3 linked regions of the Arabidopsis thaliana genome follow. The protein of the gene in region 1 interacts with the protein of each later gene in a pairwise test. Each region holds a gene or a part of one and is shown in the gene's direction. Other genes may lie near its edges.

The links.
Region 2: the proteins of AT4G31430 (region 1) and AT1G21140 interact in a two-hybrid assay, tested with the Arabidopsis thaliana proteins (one large-scale study listed by BioGRID).
Region 3: the proteins of AT4G31430 (region 1) and RPS10B interact in a two-hybrid assay, tested with the Arabidopsis thaliana proteins (one large-scale study listed by BioGRID).

What each region holds. Positions count from the first base shown.
Region 1 is NC_003075.7:15,246,383-15,253,450, forward strand, and holds AT4G31430 (flocculation protein), read left to right. Parts: upstream 1-1,994; 5' UTR 1,995-2,127; coding exon 2,128-2,398; intron 2,399-2,732; coding exon 2,733-2,785; intron 2,786-2,934; coding exon 2,935-3,023; intron 3,024-3,186; coding exon 3,187-3,293; intron 3,294-3,372; coding exon 3,373-3,464; intron 3,465-3,898; coding exon 3,899-4,069; intron 4,070-4,326; coding exon 4,327-4,516; intron 4,517-4,610; coding exon 4,611-4,675; intron 4,676-4,778; coding exon 4,779-4,833; intron 4,834-4,923; coding exon 4,924-5,002; intron 5,003-5,112; coding exon 5,113-5,192; intron 5,193-5,272; coding exon 5,273-5,411; intron 5,412-5,488; coding exon 5,489-5,822; 3' UTR 5,823-6,177; downstream 6,178-7,068. Other genes in the region: AT4G31420 (Zinc finger protein 622), read right to left, coding at 1-76, 179-348, 440-1,006, 1,277-1,381.
Region 2 is NC_003070.9:7,402,110-7,406,219, forward strand, and holds AT1G21140 (Vacuolar iron transporter (VIT) family protein), read left to right. Parts: upstream 1-2,218; 5' UTR 2,219-2,354; coding exon 2,355-2,957; 3' UTR 2,958-3,317; downstream 3,318-4,110. UniProt on the Arabidopsis thaliana protein: Vacuolar iron transporter involved in the transfer of iron ions from the cytosol to the vacuole for intracellular iron storage. Involved in regulation of cellular iron homeostasis. Vacuolar iron storage is required for seed embryo and seedling development.
Region 3 is NC_003076.8:16,608,291-16,612,730, reverse strand, and holds RPS10B (RNA binding Plectin/S10 domain-containing protein), read left to right. Parts: upstream 1-2,038; 5' UTR 2,039-2,147; coding exon 2,148-2,150; intron 2,151-2,263; coding exon 2,264-2,312; intron 2,313-2,441; coding exon 2,442-2,721; intron 2,722-2,817; coding exon 2,818-2,944; intron 2,945-3,270; coding exon 3,271-3,354; 3' UTR 3,355-3,710; downstream 3,711-4,440. Other genes in the region: AT5G41540 (Disease resistance protein (TIR-NBS-LRR class) family), read left to right, coding at 1-72; AT5G41530 (uncharacterized protein), read right to left, coding at 643-1,071; AT5G41510 (F-box and associated interaction domains-containing protein), read right to left, coding at 4,405-4,440.

The sequences.
Region 1 (7,068 bases):
ACCACCAACGAGTTCTACAGTATTGTCTGTTTCACCAGATACAACAATTTGCTTTCCAGCTTCATCAACATAGCTGCTCAATTCATATATTCCAAAGAAAGGTGCGGATTAAGATTTGGCATAGAACGAGGAATACAGGCGAGAACAAGAATAATCAGAGATAGAAGAGAGTTGAAACCTGCTGCTGTAGTCATAAAACTCTTCTAGCTCAGCATCTTCTTCATCATCACCATCACCATAATGCAGTTTGCAATGACTCTTTGCTTCCATATGTTTTCTTACAGCTTCTAAGCTGCTGAATGGACGGCACAGCTCATTGCAGTACAGACACATGAAGTCTCTCTTGACCTAAATGATGAGCAATGTATAAGTAAACAGGAGTAAGAATTTCAAAGCTTGACAACAACGAACACTGAATGGTAAATTGATGAGTCCAAACCTTAAGACCAAGGTAAGTGAGAAGCCCTTCAGGATCCTTGAGATACTCAATATCGGGAATAAAGAAACCATGATGCTTATGCATGTGAAGCATACAGCTCTCTAAGGTCTTATGTTTTTTGTCACACATCAAACAGCAGGTTGGATCCAGCTCATACTTATCTGCATCACCATCATCATCCATATCTTCAGCAGATCCAGACTCATTCACATTCAACTTAGACAAAGAATCAGAGGCTTCTTCAGCAGCCAATTCCTCGTCAGAATCAACCTCCACCCATTCATCTTCACTATCATCATCAATGGAACCCCTGTGTTGAACACGGCGAGGAAGTTGCCTGATAATCGCTATATCCTCCTCTCCGTTGATTGATGTCCCTTGTGAAACCCGCAAAACATGGCTACGCGACTGAAGATGCTGCTCATGAGCCTTGGAACTCCTGTAACCTTTAGCACAGATTGCACAAGTATAAAGCATAGGTGCTTCATTTGATTTATTCTTCTCCTGAGCAAGAGCAGATTGTCTAGCCTCAAACAAGGCTTCTGTAACTCCAGGAACTCCAGCCACCTAACATAAAAAATTACAGAAATACAAAGATTCAAATGCCTAGAAGTAACCAAATCTATGATTATTGAAATCCTTGTTCCTTAGTAGAATAAGCTTCAAAACAAATTTTCATATAAACTCTACGATTCCATAACCTTAACTAAACAATTTCGATAGCAAAATGGAAAAGCTGTTTCTCAGAAACTTTCATCTCATCACCGACGCAAGATTTTCCCGAGAAACAGATAGGCTTGAGTTCAAATTCGATAGAGAAAGCAGAAGAAATGAAACCTTGCGCTTGAGATTGTAGCGGTGCCAATCGGATTTGTAATGAAGGTTACGTTCTTCTTCGTCCTTGAACTCCATGTTACACGCGTTACATGTTAAACCAGGCATCTTCTCTCCTTCAATATCGATCGATTCTAGAAATGGAAACTGGAGAAGAAAAGAAAATCAGAGAAAAGATAGTTGGGAGGATAAGATTTGTTGTTGATATGTGTAGAGCAACGACGGCTCGTAAATGGATCGGCGATCGTGTTTGTCTCTAAAAAAGCGTCGATTGATGATGATTGATTGCCATCAAAATGAAAAGGAAGGCGCCCCGCCCATTTTAGATCCGATCGGGTTGGAACTGACCCGTTCCTGACCCGATACAAGAGTAGCCCATTTGGCCCATTCTTTTAGCCTTTTTGTAACACTGACACAGTTGACGAATTAAGTATTACTGTATGAGTAACCAAAAAACATTTTTCTAATATTGTTTTTAAAATAACTACTTACAACTTGATTAATTACTTCGTTTAATCATGTAACTTTTTTTTCTTCCAAATTCTAATCTCTCTATTAAATTACTGCATTTATAAGATCTAAACATCATGTGATATGTTCAAAATATGAAAAGAGAAGAATATAATACATGATTTTACTACGATTAATTTTTTTTAATCGCAATGTTTTGTTTTTGCCTAATTTTATTAGTGGAAGAAATTTTAACCGCAGGCCTGTAATTTAGGAAACTAACTATTCACCCCCAATTAAAAAAAAAAACAAGAAGACGACAAATAACGAGAAATTACCAATTTTTCCTCAACACTTTCATTATTTCCTACAACGAACTTCTCCCTCCTCCTCTCACTTTCACCATGGATTCCGTCTCCGGTTACGCCGCCGGAGCAGGTCAGCCTCGAGTCGGTGGGAAAATTGTTCGACCACGACGCACCGCTGTTGTCAGGACGCCGTGTGAGCGCCCCGTTCAGAGATCCCGAGATCCTCCTCAGCAAAACCCTAGTTGGATCTCCAGGCTCGTTTACAAACCCGCCAGCGTAATTGCTTCCGGCGCCGGAAAATTCATTTCTTCCGTCGTCTTCTCCGACTCTTCCTCATCTTCGGAGGAGGACGAGGATTCATCTTCAGGTTTGTACCATTTATTTCAGTTTAGATAGGATTAATTTGAATTTTTGGTTTATTGTCTGGTCGAATCTGAAAGCTACCGTTTCGTTTGAAATGTGAAGTTTGACTTAAAGCTTTCCCATTTTCTCTTTCCTTTAATATGTGGGACTTAAGAGCAGTTAAGCATTGTTGTACTCTATTTAGTTAGGTTACTTCTAAGCTATAAACTTCATACTAATTCTAAAGCTCTAATTTTTATTCATATAATGTAGTTCTGGGATTGAGAATACCAACCAGCTTTGTTGTGTCTTATTCTTTTAATGTATGGATTTTTATATGTTTTCTTCTTTGTTTGCAGATATTGATGGTGATGAGGATGTTGAGAAGAACAATCCCGATTTTACTGAAGAGGTACTAACCACCTTGTTCGTTTTGGTGATTGCTATGCCACTGTAGTCCTATGATAATTGTTTGAAGTAAAGTTCGTGAAGCTAACACGTTTTCAACTGAGAGTTTTTTTTATAAAAGCATAATTTCAGTTTTTGTGCTTGTGTGAATAGGACCTTCTGAGTGCCCAGCAACCAAGCATTCAACGACTCAGTTCTAAGCGTGTAATTGAGCAGCTTCTCTTGCAAGAAACATTTGCAAGGTATTTCTCTGCCTGGCTTTTTGGACATCATAAGTAGCAGCCTCCTCGACTATTCTTATTATTTACACCTCATAGCTTAAAGAATCTTTCTGAGACGTGTGTAGTTACCAAATCTAAGCTGATCTTGTATCCTGCTTATTCATTCATGTGTATGTTGTTTCAGGGAAGAGGGTGATAGGTTAATAGATATCATCAAGGCTAGGGTTGTAGATCATCCCAGCGTCCCCTCTGCTATTGAGACGAGTCATGATGACTATGGATTGACAAGCGGTATGTTACTGATGGTAGACTGTGCAAGTAGACCGGATTAGTCTATGTGATAACGTCTTCTTTTCTATTTTATTTCTAGACGTGAATGTGGGTGAAATGTCCAATACAGCTGTCATGGAAGCAAGAAAATGGTTGGAGGAGAAGAAATCAGGATCAAGTTCAAAGTATAAAGTAAGTTCTGGAAACTTGCTTCTTAACTGTTCTAATTGCTGCAGCCTGCAGGTATCAACTTTTTTGTGATATCTTGTCTCCGTGCTCTAAGCCATTATTATTATAGAAGGAGACATCTTCTGTTTGGGTAAAATGATTTGATTGTTATATGCCAATCCATGTGATCAGCAACTTAAAGCTCTCTTGCAAAAGTAGGTTGTTCAGAATTCTGCGTGTGGCCATCTGGTGACGTTAATTCTGAAATGTCCTGATTGGGAAATACCTTTTTGTCCGCTTAAAATGCAAAAGATCCATATTGTTGCTCTTCTTTTGACTATGAAGACCATTTACTTACATGATTTTGGTCAACTTCTGATAGCTTCGCTTCACAGTATTCTTTTTCCATTGTACTTTAAATGATGATCACCATCTCAGCCATTAGTTTAAATCTCCAGGCAACTGAAGATGGTGCTGGATCGCCTGTGGACGTGGCCAAGTCTTATATGCGAGCTCGTCTGCCATGGGGATCTCCAGCTGCGAATAATTTAGATTTTCGATCACCATCATCAGCAAGAGTGCAAGGGACACCCCTTCCTTATAGCGCTGGAAACTTTTCCTCATCCAAGGTTAGAATTTTAAGTTCTCCAGCAGTGCATACTTTTCTTTTGGTCAAATGTTGTTTGAAAGTCTGAAGTCGTTTCATCTTGGTTTATGAGATAAAATTCTCTGCTTAACTTCTATTGTTTATGTTAGATAACCACGAGGAATTTGTGGGACACTATTTCCAGCTATTCCTAAAGAAAAGTTGCATACCGTTATATGTATTTTCAATGGCTCTCTCAAATTTACCCTTATTCATTCTGACATTGGTTACCAAATGCAGCTGAAAAGGAAGTCCGGTTCTAATCAGTCATGGAATATTCAAGATGAAATTCGCAAAGTCAGAGCTAAAGCAACCGAGGAAATGCTTAAAAGTCCCAGTAGTGTAGCCTCTTTGGAACCTAAATACAGCCCCTATGTTTTAGCGACTGATATGCTCAAAGGAAATGCTTCGTCTTTGAATGCTGATGGAGGTGTTTTTTTTCTTTCTTTATTCACACGTGGAAGAAGTTTTTCAGTAAGACATGAGTTGAAACTGAAATTAACTCTTCTTTTCTGTTCTTTCAGCTGTACGGAATGAACAAAGCAGAGCTCTACCAAATTCAGCCATACCTACCTCTGAGCACAATCAGGTATCAAGCACTCTTTACACTATGTGTCTCTCATTACCAAGAAAAAACTTGCAGTTCCAATCTTTCTTGTTTTGGTGTCCTTGTGTGTTTTACTTGAGTGAAGACTACGGAAGCTAATCAAGCCGTCAAAGAAACAGGAGTTTTACACACTAGATCTCGTTAGTTTCTCCCTTAATCCTTAATTTGTATACACTCTCTCATCTTCGCTTTTTATACTCTGTCTCATGGATTTAATGTGTTCTGATTAGGTGGAGTTGGTTTGGAGGAGACATTTATCTCCACACAAGGAGTCAAGCCATCTGAAGATACGAATACCGCTCCTCAAAGGTTCTTTTTATTGTGCTTATCCTTCCAACACAGATTGTACCTTGTTTCTTTTTGACAGATATGTTTTTTAGTATATCAATCTTCTGAAGTTTTTCAACTGTATGCGACAGTGGAACTGCTGTAGATGACTTCAATGATCAAGATGGCGATTTTATCCAACCTACTTCTACTATCGGAAACACCACAAATGGTATACATTGGATGTTGAATTCCTTTGGTTCTGATTTTTAGTTGGGTTCTCTTAATTTACTTGCGCTCCTATTGATGCAGCTGTCTTGGCTCTTGGGGCAACTTTGGATCCTACTGGGAACTCTTGCATCCCTAAAGATGTGTTTGAAACATCAAAAGAAGCTGATGAAATAGGCGCATCACGTCATACTTCTAACGGTTTCCCATCTTCATCACCTAGGTGAAAAGCAACTCCTTTGTCTGGCTAGTTTGACATGATGACATTATTTCCTCCTAAGCAAAGCCTTACTTTTTCAGTTCACCAGCGGTTATGGAAGGTCAACCAAAACCCACACCACCAGAAGAAACCAAGGCTTCTCAGCCTATAGCTGAAATTCATGGTGATGATATGACAGTAGGGAATGGCTCAGATGGTGCAATTAATAACGAAAGCAATGACAGCCACTCAAGTGCCTCTAACAGTTCAAGCACCCATGAAGAAGAGTGGCTCCCAGGAGACCAGTCTCTACCTAACTCAAACTCAGCAAGTAGCAGCCCGGGAAATACCAAGGTCTTGGCATACAGCAGAAGAGGAAGAGGCCGAGGTAGAGGAAGAGGCAGAGGAGGTCGAGGCAAAGGACGGGCCAAATAAACTTTGTAAGATGAGCTGTACACAACAAACACAATGCAGTAGGAGAGTATTATGATGAGGTAGGATTATGTGACATCTCTTTTAGATTTGAATCCCACTCTGTTTGTGTTTGGTCTTTGGTCACTTCGTTATCTTTTTAGGTTATCTTGTAGTATTTGAGTTAGGAGGATTTGTCTTGTCGAGTTATGTGGAATTGTGTCTCTGTTGTTTCTTTCATTTGTCTGAAATCTCTAATGTTTAATGTTGTAAGTTTGAAGCTTGGTTTCGTTCCAGCTGACGAAGCTTTGTAGTTTGCAGTTTCCATATGTTGAAACTCTTTTTCTTTTGTTCGATGCCAAATTTTTAAATCTTTTTTACTTGACCAAAAAGCCAACACCTAATTTTTTTGGGGGAAATCTCAAGTACTAACACCACTCATCTTTTAACCTCGTAAAGTGTCAAGTAAACAAATTCTGACATGATCCAATATTAGATGAGATCACTCAGATCAAAACATTGTAAGATGAATATAATCAAATGGGTTCAATCTAGTGTTACACAATCTCTTACCAAAGTACAAAAGCAATAACGAGCGAAAAGAAGAAACCCAATAACCAATTTTATCAAGACAGACAGAAAGAGAGAGAGAAAAAACAAAACAGACAGAAACAAAAGTGAAGAAAAACGAACAACAAAAACCCAATAAGCAGCGATCGAAGCTAAAATAAACACAGAAGAGCGAAAGCGCTCAGACATTCAAATCTGAAAAGCCATACGAAAGAAGAAGCCACGAAGATTCAATCGAAGCAGAAGTGTATTATTAAGAAGCCGAGAAATCATTGGGTTGGTGTCGGAACTCGGAAGTTACTTGTTTTGTTCCGATTTTTCTTTTGTCTGAATTCTTTCTGGTCAAATCTTCCAACACTTGTTCTTCTGCTTACAAGCTTGGGTCCCGCTTCTCATTGCCCGCTTCCTCCTTCTTCAATTCGAATTTCATCATTCTTTAGGCAATTCGAATCTGTTGCTCTGTTCTCAAAGCTCCAATCATTTGTTCAACTCAACTGATCTCGATTTGCTCCAACTCAAATTTCGGGAATTCTCAAAGTTCTTAGCTTCCGAATTGGGCGTGAAACAAAAAATGCGGGGTTTTTCTGCTCTGATTCAGTTTCGTCTTCTTACTCGCTCGTGAACTTGGAGAAACGGTTAGTTGGATTGATTCTTCCTTCTTGATGGATTGATTTGCTAATTCCAAGCTAGGGTTTGTAAT
Region 2 (4,110 bases), on another chromosome or scaffold:
TTCAAATTTAAATAATAAATTAATGAATTTTGCTTTTGATCAAGCCGCTCTACAAATTCTATAGTGTATACTACTAATAGTAATAATATATACAATGCTTGAAAAATATTGGAGACATTATAACATGTACTCCAACATTCGAATTATAAATCAATCACTTTGAATTCATGAAAACATACGTGATCATAATTCGTAAGCGGTTTAGTAATTTCGACTAATGTCTTCATTGTCTATTTATTTCGGACTGTCCATTATATGAATGCAGTGTGTGAATCATAGGGAAAAAAAACCAAAAAGAATTACCTTATAGTTAGTATGCGCTATATAAATTGTAAATTCTGGAATGTTAATAATGTGCTGGCATATATGTACGTAGGCGACTACGTATGCATGCATATACATGAAGAAACATAATACGTAGATGTCTACGTATGTGTGTTAGTGTGTGTGCAAACAAGTGACGATGATGGTGAAATGTGGTGCTATTCGTGTGGAAACCACACTCGTCCCTCTTTCTTTAATATTATTATGATCTCTCTCTATTATTTTATCTCACCATAAATCTATCTCTAAGTGCTTTCCAATTCACCAATCCATCAAAAAATTTATTTTTTTTTATTTATATAACCAAAAAAAACCCTAGCTTTTATGTGTAATGTGTTCATTATCTACTATTAATTTGTTGTTTATGATTTTCACTTGTATACGGCTCTAATTGCGCTGGATCAAAGAATCTATAGTGTGAAAAGTATCTGATTCAATTTTGATCCCCTTCATATATAAGATAGTTGGATTCTACTATTTCATATTTTAATCGTCCATTATGTGTCCGTTTATCAACAAGGAGCTGTATTAACTAATCCATGTTTTTTGACCTATTTTTTCTTCCTAATTAATGAATCCCTCTTATTAAATTCAATGAAAAGAAGATGTAGAATATGATTACACTTATCAAACAATTCCAAAATATAACAGTGTCTTATCAATAAATAGATTATCCGTTGATCACTTTTGGTCAAACTCTAAGAAAATCCAGAGATCCAAACACTATGTGTGATTGATTCGCCCCCCTTCTGTTTTGGGATTGTTTCTTTGTCGAGAAAAAAGGTATAATTAACCAACAAAAATAAACAGAAAGTAAAAGAATGAGATTGTTGTTTCATTTTTATTTACTAGAAAAATGCTTTCACAGTTTACGTGTTCTAAAATTAAGGGGATAGGATAAAATAAATATGACATATACGCTACTGATTTGTTTCAAGTTATGTAAAAGAAAAAAAGACAAAATTTGACACTTTGAGAAAGCTTTTGATATATTATTCCAAGTTACGTTTCTTCTAAAAAATGTAACTACCAACCACACTCCGATCAAAAAGTTCATTTTTTCAAAGAAAAATACAATGTACATGAATACGAAGACGTTCCTGAAGATTTCTTTTCCCAATTGATTATTCAAGAAAGTAGATTAAAGCATTTGCCAAATTTGAATATGGTGTTCTCTAGTCAATATAGTAGTACAGCTGCCAAAAGGAATGTTAATTTGGTAACTTGGTAATAAAAGTAAAACCAAGAAAACTAAAGTATTATATGTTTATAATAAACTTTTGGCCAACACATTTCGTGTAACATTAGGTAATCGTTTGGGAGGTTGAGATTTCATTTTTATATATTAATTTTGTATAATTTTTTGCCAAGAAGACATATATGCATATTATGGCTTTGATCTTGACGACGACTTAACAACTCCATAGTGTAAGTATGTAACTGCATGCCCCTTTCGGTCTCTCAAATTGATATTTGTTTTTTGTCCTTCACGAATCAAATGAAATGAAAAAGACACATAAATGTATACTTTCACATTTCCTTTCTTCTTATATTTGATTATTTGTAACTTTTTTTTTGAAAAGTATTAAGTTCCTTTTGAATTTAATTCAATTGAGATCCATTTTTGGGGGTACAGTTATACCAATCGTTGTGCTTTATCTTTACCGATGGTACGCGGCAATCAACTTTTTTTTTTTTCCTTCTAAAGTTCATTTGTTCGTTTCAAACTTATAATCATAGTGTAAAAACGATTAGATGTTTGTTAATTCGATTTCCTAATCTAAATTTTTGAAAAAGACAGAATAAAAAGTATTTCCGTTAGTGGTGATGATGCTCCCCATATATTAATCGTCGACTCCACCACATAAATTATTTTAAAAAGTTAAATAAAAAAAGCTAAAAACTCACACAATCTCTCCATAAATAGAACCTAGGCGTGTGTTCTCCACACTTCACCTATATTCTCTACCTTCTTATTTCAGCACAAACCAAAAACATAAAGACAGAAAGCCAACCCAAAAGACTTTACCATGGAATCACACAACGTGAGCAACAGCTTGAACCTAGACATGGAGATGGATCAAGAAAAGGCTTTCGACTACTCCAAAAGAGCTCAATGGCTAAGAGCCGCCGTGCTTGGTGCCAACGACGGTCTTGTCTCGACGGCTTCACTTATGATGGGTGTCGGTGCGGTAAAGCAAGACGTCAAAGTCATGATCTTATCTGGTTTCGCCGGTTTGGTCGCCGGAGCTTGTAGCATGGCTATCGGAGAGTTTGTCTCCGTTTACTCTCAGTACGACATCGAGGTGGCTCAAATGAAGAGAGAGAACGGAGGACAAGTGGAGAAAGAGAAGCTTCCGAGTCCCATGCAAGCGGCTGCCGCGTCTGCGTTAGCGTTTTCTTTGGGTGCGATTGTGCCTTTAATGGCGGCTGCGTTTGTGAAAGACTATCACGTGAGAATAGGAGCGATCGTGGCGGCGGTGACATTGGCGTTAGTGATGTTTGGGTGGTTAGGAGCGGTTTTGGGGAAAGCACCGGTGTTTAAGTCGTCGGCTAGGGTTTTGATTGGAGGATGGTTAGCTATGGCCGTTACTTTTGGTTTGACAAAACTGATTGGGACACATAGTCTGTGATATGTTTCTGTTTACTTACATACGTGAGTAACGTGAGTAAACTCTTCTTCATGCTTCACGCTTCATGCAACACAATTTAAGCGGTTACGTTTTTTTTTTTTTTTTTATAGATAAGAAAGTGTGGAAAGGCCACTTGTGGTGACTTGTTTTATTTCGTGGGAATTTGATAGTAATGGGATCTCTTTGTAAGCAAATGTGTTAATATAAATTCTGTCAACTGGAGTTTTCCCCAATAATGATAATTGAGACTTGAGAGTCTTGTAACACTTATGGCTTTAAGCCTTTAACCATGATTGGGCAAAGTAATATCCATAAAAAATGCATACATGTGTATTTCTATAAAAAAATGAATATAAAAATATGAAATGTATATCTATTAATCATTAAATATGTTCTTATTCAATTTTATTTCTTATAACATTTTTAAGGTAATATGTTTAGTTTTAATAATATTTATGGAGTGAATACGATATTCAATCAAATTTTCTGGATATGTAAAACTAAGAAGCAAAAACATAAATTTGACTTTTGTAATGAATATCTAAACCTCCAAGATAGATTAAAAATCAGAAAGAAAATCAAATATGAAAAAATGGAGCGGATCACATATATACTACACCACTAGTGTTTCAAATTTTTTTGGCTGAAAAAATCGGAGACAAAATTTTACCAATTTGTGTCAACAATTATATATTTTTTAAACTGATCACATAAACGAAATTTGTTTTAAGAGAGTAATTAGCTTAACTCAATAGACTAAACTCTAAAAATATGCAACTAATCGGCCAAATTAATCCACCAAAATACCACTGAATTTTGGTAGTTAGAACCTGTTAGAAATTATAACAAAGTAATCCCCAACTAGAGCCTACCTATATTTATCCATTTCGTTCCAAACAAAGATATCAACACCACACAAATCCTTTACACAAAGATTGATCGCGTTGGAGTGTACAAATGCTCTCGTCATGACAAATCAATGATCTCCGAAAAAAACATAAAAAGAGAGCTACTTTTGGAATCCTTGTCGTGTTCCGTTTTATAAAGCTAAATTTAATGCCTACTTTTGCACCAGATTGCGTGTTAACTCTCACATCCTCGTAGAAAGGATAATGCAACATGTGAGCTTTATCTATGAAAACATTATAGTATC
Region 3 (4,440 bases), on another chromosome or scaffold:
AGCAGCAGCAGCGAAGAGGACTACTTTGATGCTGAGAGTAGTAGCCGCGAATGCTGGAGATGGAGACTATGAAGCAGAAGATGAAAACATCAAAAGCAGTAAATATACAAGTTGTTGGACTTGTCTTAAGAAGCATGGTCTGGGGAGGATGGAACCTGCATTACAATTTGAAAGATCTAACTATGTTTGGTTTTGCTACAACCTATGATTTGGAAGCTGACACTAGGACAATGAGGACAAGATAATTGACTGTGGTTTGCAGATATATTGACAATTTCATACAGGTCACAGGATTTTTGGTCCGGGAAACAAAACAGAACCTCCATTATATTTACGGATTGTTAGTGTCTTTGAATATTTCTGATTATCCAAATCTGTAGAGAGATTGGAATACGTGATCCTAGATTCAAATCGTTTTGAATTGTCTCCTCTCTTAAATCTTTACGTGTTTGATTTCAATGTAATTTAATAAGGAAACATTGTTATATTCAATAGATGGCTTATTCAGAACCATTGTAACTCTGGGATAACTTCTCTTTTTCTGTGAAACTGACTGTAGTAGCCAACACAACAAATAAAAGACAGTAAAACAAAAGCTGTGAAGTTCTCATCCATTAAACTTTTAAAATAACCCACATTCTATTAGGATCCATCATTCAAAAGATGCAGCAACACACAACACACAAAAAACAATGAAGTAGGAATAACATAAAACATCCAAAAGCAGAAATTATTTTCTTGTTGAATAAGTAACATCAAACTCCAGCTAGCGTTTGCAAACTTTGTAAAGAAAGTTTGTTTCTTGATGTTCAAATTTAGCTCCTCAACATTCAACTCCTTCCATTCATCGATGAGCTCTTTAATTGTTTCAGCTCCAAGATTCTTCAAGTTTGGAAACATCAACTTCTTTTGATATTCACTTAAACCTTGAAACAATATAACAGCCTCAAGTGCATCCTTCAGAGCACACAAGTCATCTTCCTCACTCTTCTCCTTGTCACCATTATCAGTCTCCATATTATTGTAATTCAACAGCTGCTTACATCGGGTTACGTATAAGTAAAAAAGCATCAAACTTTTAGACCATCTCCAATGCCTAACTCTATTTTAGAAGAAATATAGTTGATTTTGCTCCAATGTATGACTCTAAAATAGAGAAAAATATAGAGTAGTCTTATTTTTTACTCTATATATAGAGAGCAATCTCTACACTTTTCCTCTATTTTAGAGTTAACTCTATTTTGAAAATACAATGGAGCAAAATTAACTATATTTTCTCTAAAATAGAATCATCTCTAAAATAAAGGAAAAAATAGAGTTAGGCATTGGAGATGTTCTTACATAAAGAAGAGAAAGAGAAGGAATACACACTCACAGTTTTGATCTTGTCGATACTCTCCTCGGAAGCACATTCTGTTTCTGATTCTAAGTCTGATATTATGATCGTTGGCATTTTGGACGCTTCTTCATGCGGACGTTTTTTTCTACGTCGGAATTCAAAGCCACCCGTGTAGGAGTCGTCGCTGCTGGAATCATTTCCCTCATTATCCATTTTGACAAGGGACCAAAAGAATCAAACTTGGCAACGTTTGGGAAATAAAAGTTCCAAAACTAAAACTGCCACTATTGAGAGGGAAGAGTGTGAGGAACCTGTTTTTAAACAAATACCAGAGAGAGGGAAGAGCAAACGTTGAATTGGAAAAATGCACTCTACCTTGAATTATATATTACTGTAACTTTAAACCAAGAAGTATGAAATTATATATGTAAATCGTGTGATATGAAATTTCTTGTATCTTTTATGTCTACAGTCTTTTTTTTTTCTTACAGCAATTTTTATGTCTACAGTCTACTTGATGAAATTTCTCACAAATTACTGAAGTAGAAAATGTCCTGATTTAATATATGAAAGACTAAAGCTAAATAACTTTGGGTATAAAATAAATTAGATTGGGCCATGTTAGCCCATTAACATTTTTTTATATCGGCCCAATTAGGGACACACATAAACCCTTAAGACAAACATGTTATAAAAGTGGCGGCTTCAGTCGAAATTAGGGTTTCGCGTTAGGAGAAGAAGTTAAAGCAAAACACATACAAACGCAGTCACCTTCTCTATCGCCTCCTTCTTCAATCTCATCGCAATCATGGTAACATCTCTAAACCCTAAATCACTCCTTACGTGAATCAAATACTGATTTCAAAATGCTGAGTATACTCAAACTGTATATAAAAAAGCTAATCTTGTTTCTCGTATTTGCAGATCATATCAGAGACTAACCGCCGTGAGATCTCCAAGTACCTCTTCAAAGGTACCATTTTGATTTGAGCTTATGAATCTAGTTGTCTTCTACGTTAATGGGTTTATGCATGATGATTGATTGGTTGATTCAAGAGAATTGTACTTAGAAATGGTTGGAATTGGTTCTTTTTGTGTGCAGAGGGTGTTTTGTTTGCTAAAAAGGATTTCAACTTACCACAACATCCTTTGATTGAGAGTGTTCCAAATCTGCAAGTTATCAAGTTGATGCAGAGTTTCAAATCTAAGGAATATGTGAGAGAGACCTTTGCTTGGATGCATTACTACTGGTTCCTCACAAATGAAGGTATTGACTTTCTCAGGACTTACCTTAATCTCCCATCTGAGATTGTTCCTGCTACTTTGAAGAAGCAACAGAAGCCTCTTGGTCGACCTTTTGGAGGTGGTGGTGACCGTCCCCGGTAATCAATTTGAATCTTCAATTCTCAGTCTTGTTATTGTATCATGGTTACTTGTTAAGTGTTGATATGTGACGGTGTTGATTTGGTTTTATACAGTGGCCCTCCTCGTGGTGATGGAGAGAGGAGGTTTGGTGACAGAGATGGATACCGTGGAGGTCCTAAATCAGGTGGAGAGTATGGTGACAAGGCTGGAGCACCTGCTGATTACCAGCCTGGCTTCAGGGTACCAAATCTCTCCTTTCTTGTCAAACTCTTGTGAACACTTTTATTTGTTACGCATTAGTATCATGCTTAATTTTGAGGAAACTTCTGAAGCCACTATCTTTCAACAACATGTTGTGTTCTTAGGTTCCCTAAATCATTTTATGAACTCTGTCTGATAAGCACCTTGTGTAAATTGCTTTGCTTTAATCTGTTGTGCACTTGGCTTCCCTAAATATTCGATGCTCTGCCACTAGGTCTTTCTATCATGAGTAATGGTGGTTTCATGATTGCTAGAATGCAATGCAATTATGTTGGTGTGTAATTAAATGTTTTGGTTATGTACAGGGTGGAGCTGGTGGAGCTAGGCAAGGGTTTGGTCGTGGAGCTGGTGGTTTCGGTGGTGGTGCTGCTGGATCTGATCTTCCTTGAAAAGGACTTTCTTGTTTCTTTTTGGTCTTATTTAAGGTTACATAGTACCTTTGATTTGAGAACGAATGTGTCTTTTGGAACTTTGTTTCTTTCTCTAAAACCATCTCACAATATGATTGTTTTTTACGTTAGAATTTTATGAAGAAATGTTGGATCGTTACATGAATCTTTTTACACTGTCCTCCATTTTAAATTCTCCTATTTAGTTTTTTTTCGCAGCTTACAAGTGACGTGTATATATAAAGTTCTGTTAAAACTGTTGTATGAATAATCATGAAAAATATCGATATTACTGAAATCTAGATGTTGAAATTTTACACTCATATGCACAAAACAACGTAAAAGAGAAACCCAACAGCATCATCATACGTATGGTTTCTTTTCAAATGATGATGCTGTTGGGTTTCTTTTTTACGTTTACATTCAAATGAGCAGATCAATAATGCTATTCTAAACTACTTTGTTTCATCCTTTTGCCTCAGCGTAGGTTTCTTGATTTGGACCAAACTTGGTCGATAGAATTGGCCTTCAGATACTCTGAGATCCAAAATTCTTAAGTATCAATGAAGAAAATAATTGGAAATAAGTTAGCTTCCGTATCCATTCCTGCAATGAAGTCTTGCCTAAAATCATCTTATGAACTCTTTGACTATTAGTTACTCATTAGTATCTTGTTAAATTGTCGTGTGTTAACTCTTTTGTGCTCTTGCACTTGCTTATTTCATTGTTTGCGAACCTCTTTCATTGAATTATAAACATTCTCTCGTACAACTACTCAAATCACATAACCAAACTTATTTGTTTAATGCTGTTCAAATGGCTTGAAAATATGTTTAATTTTGTTGAAACATCCTGAAATAGATGAGATCGACATGCTCTCATGTTACTGATATTGCTAAGAATGTAAATAGAAAAAAATAAAAAAATAAAATGTTGAGGTACTAGCTACATTAAATGCTATAACTTAGAAACCAATCTCAATTTTGCGCCTAATCATCCCGTTTACTCGGTTTTGCACATCCTCCTACCAATATCAATAACTGATATTGATTAGCTTTTTCCATTGCGCGCAAGTCTCAAAATGTT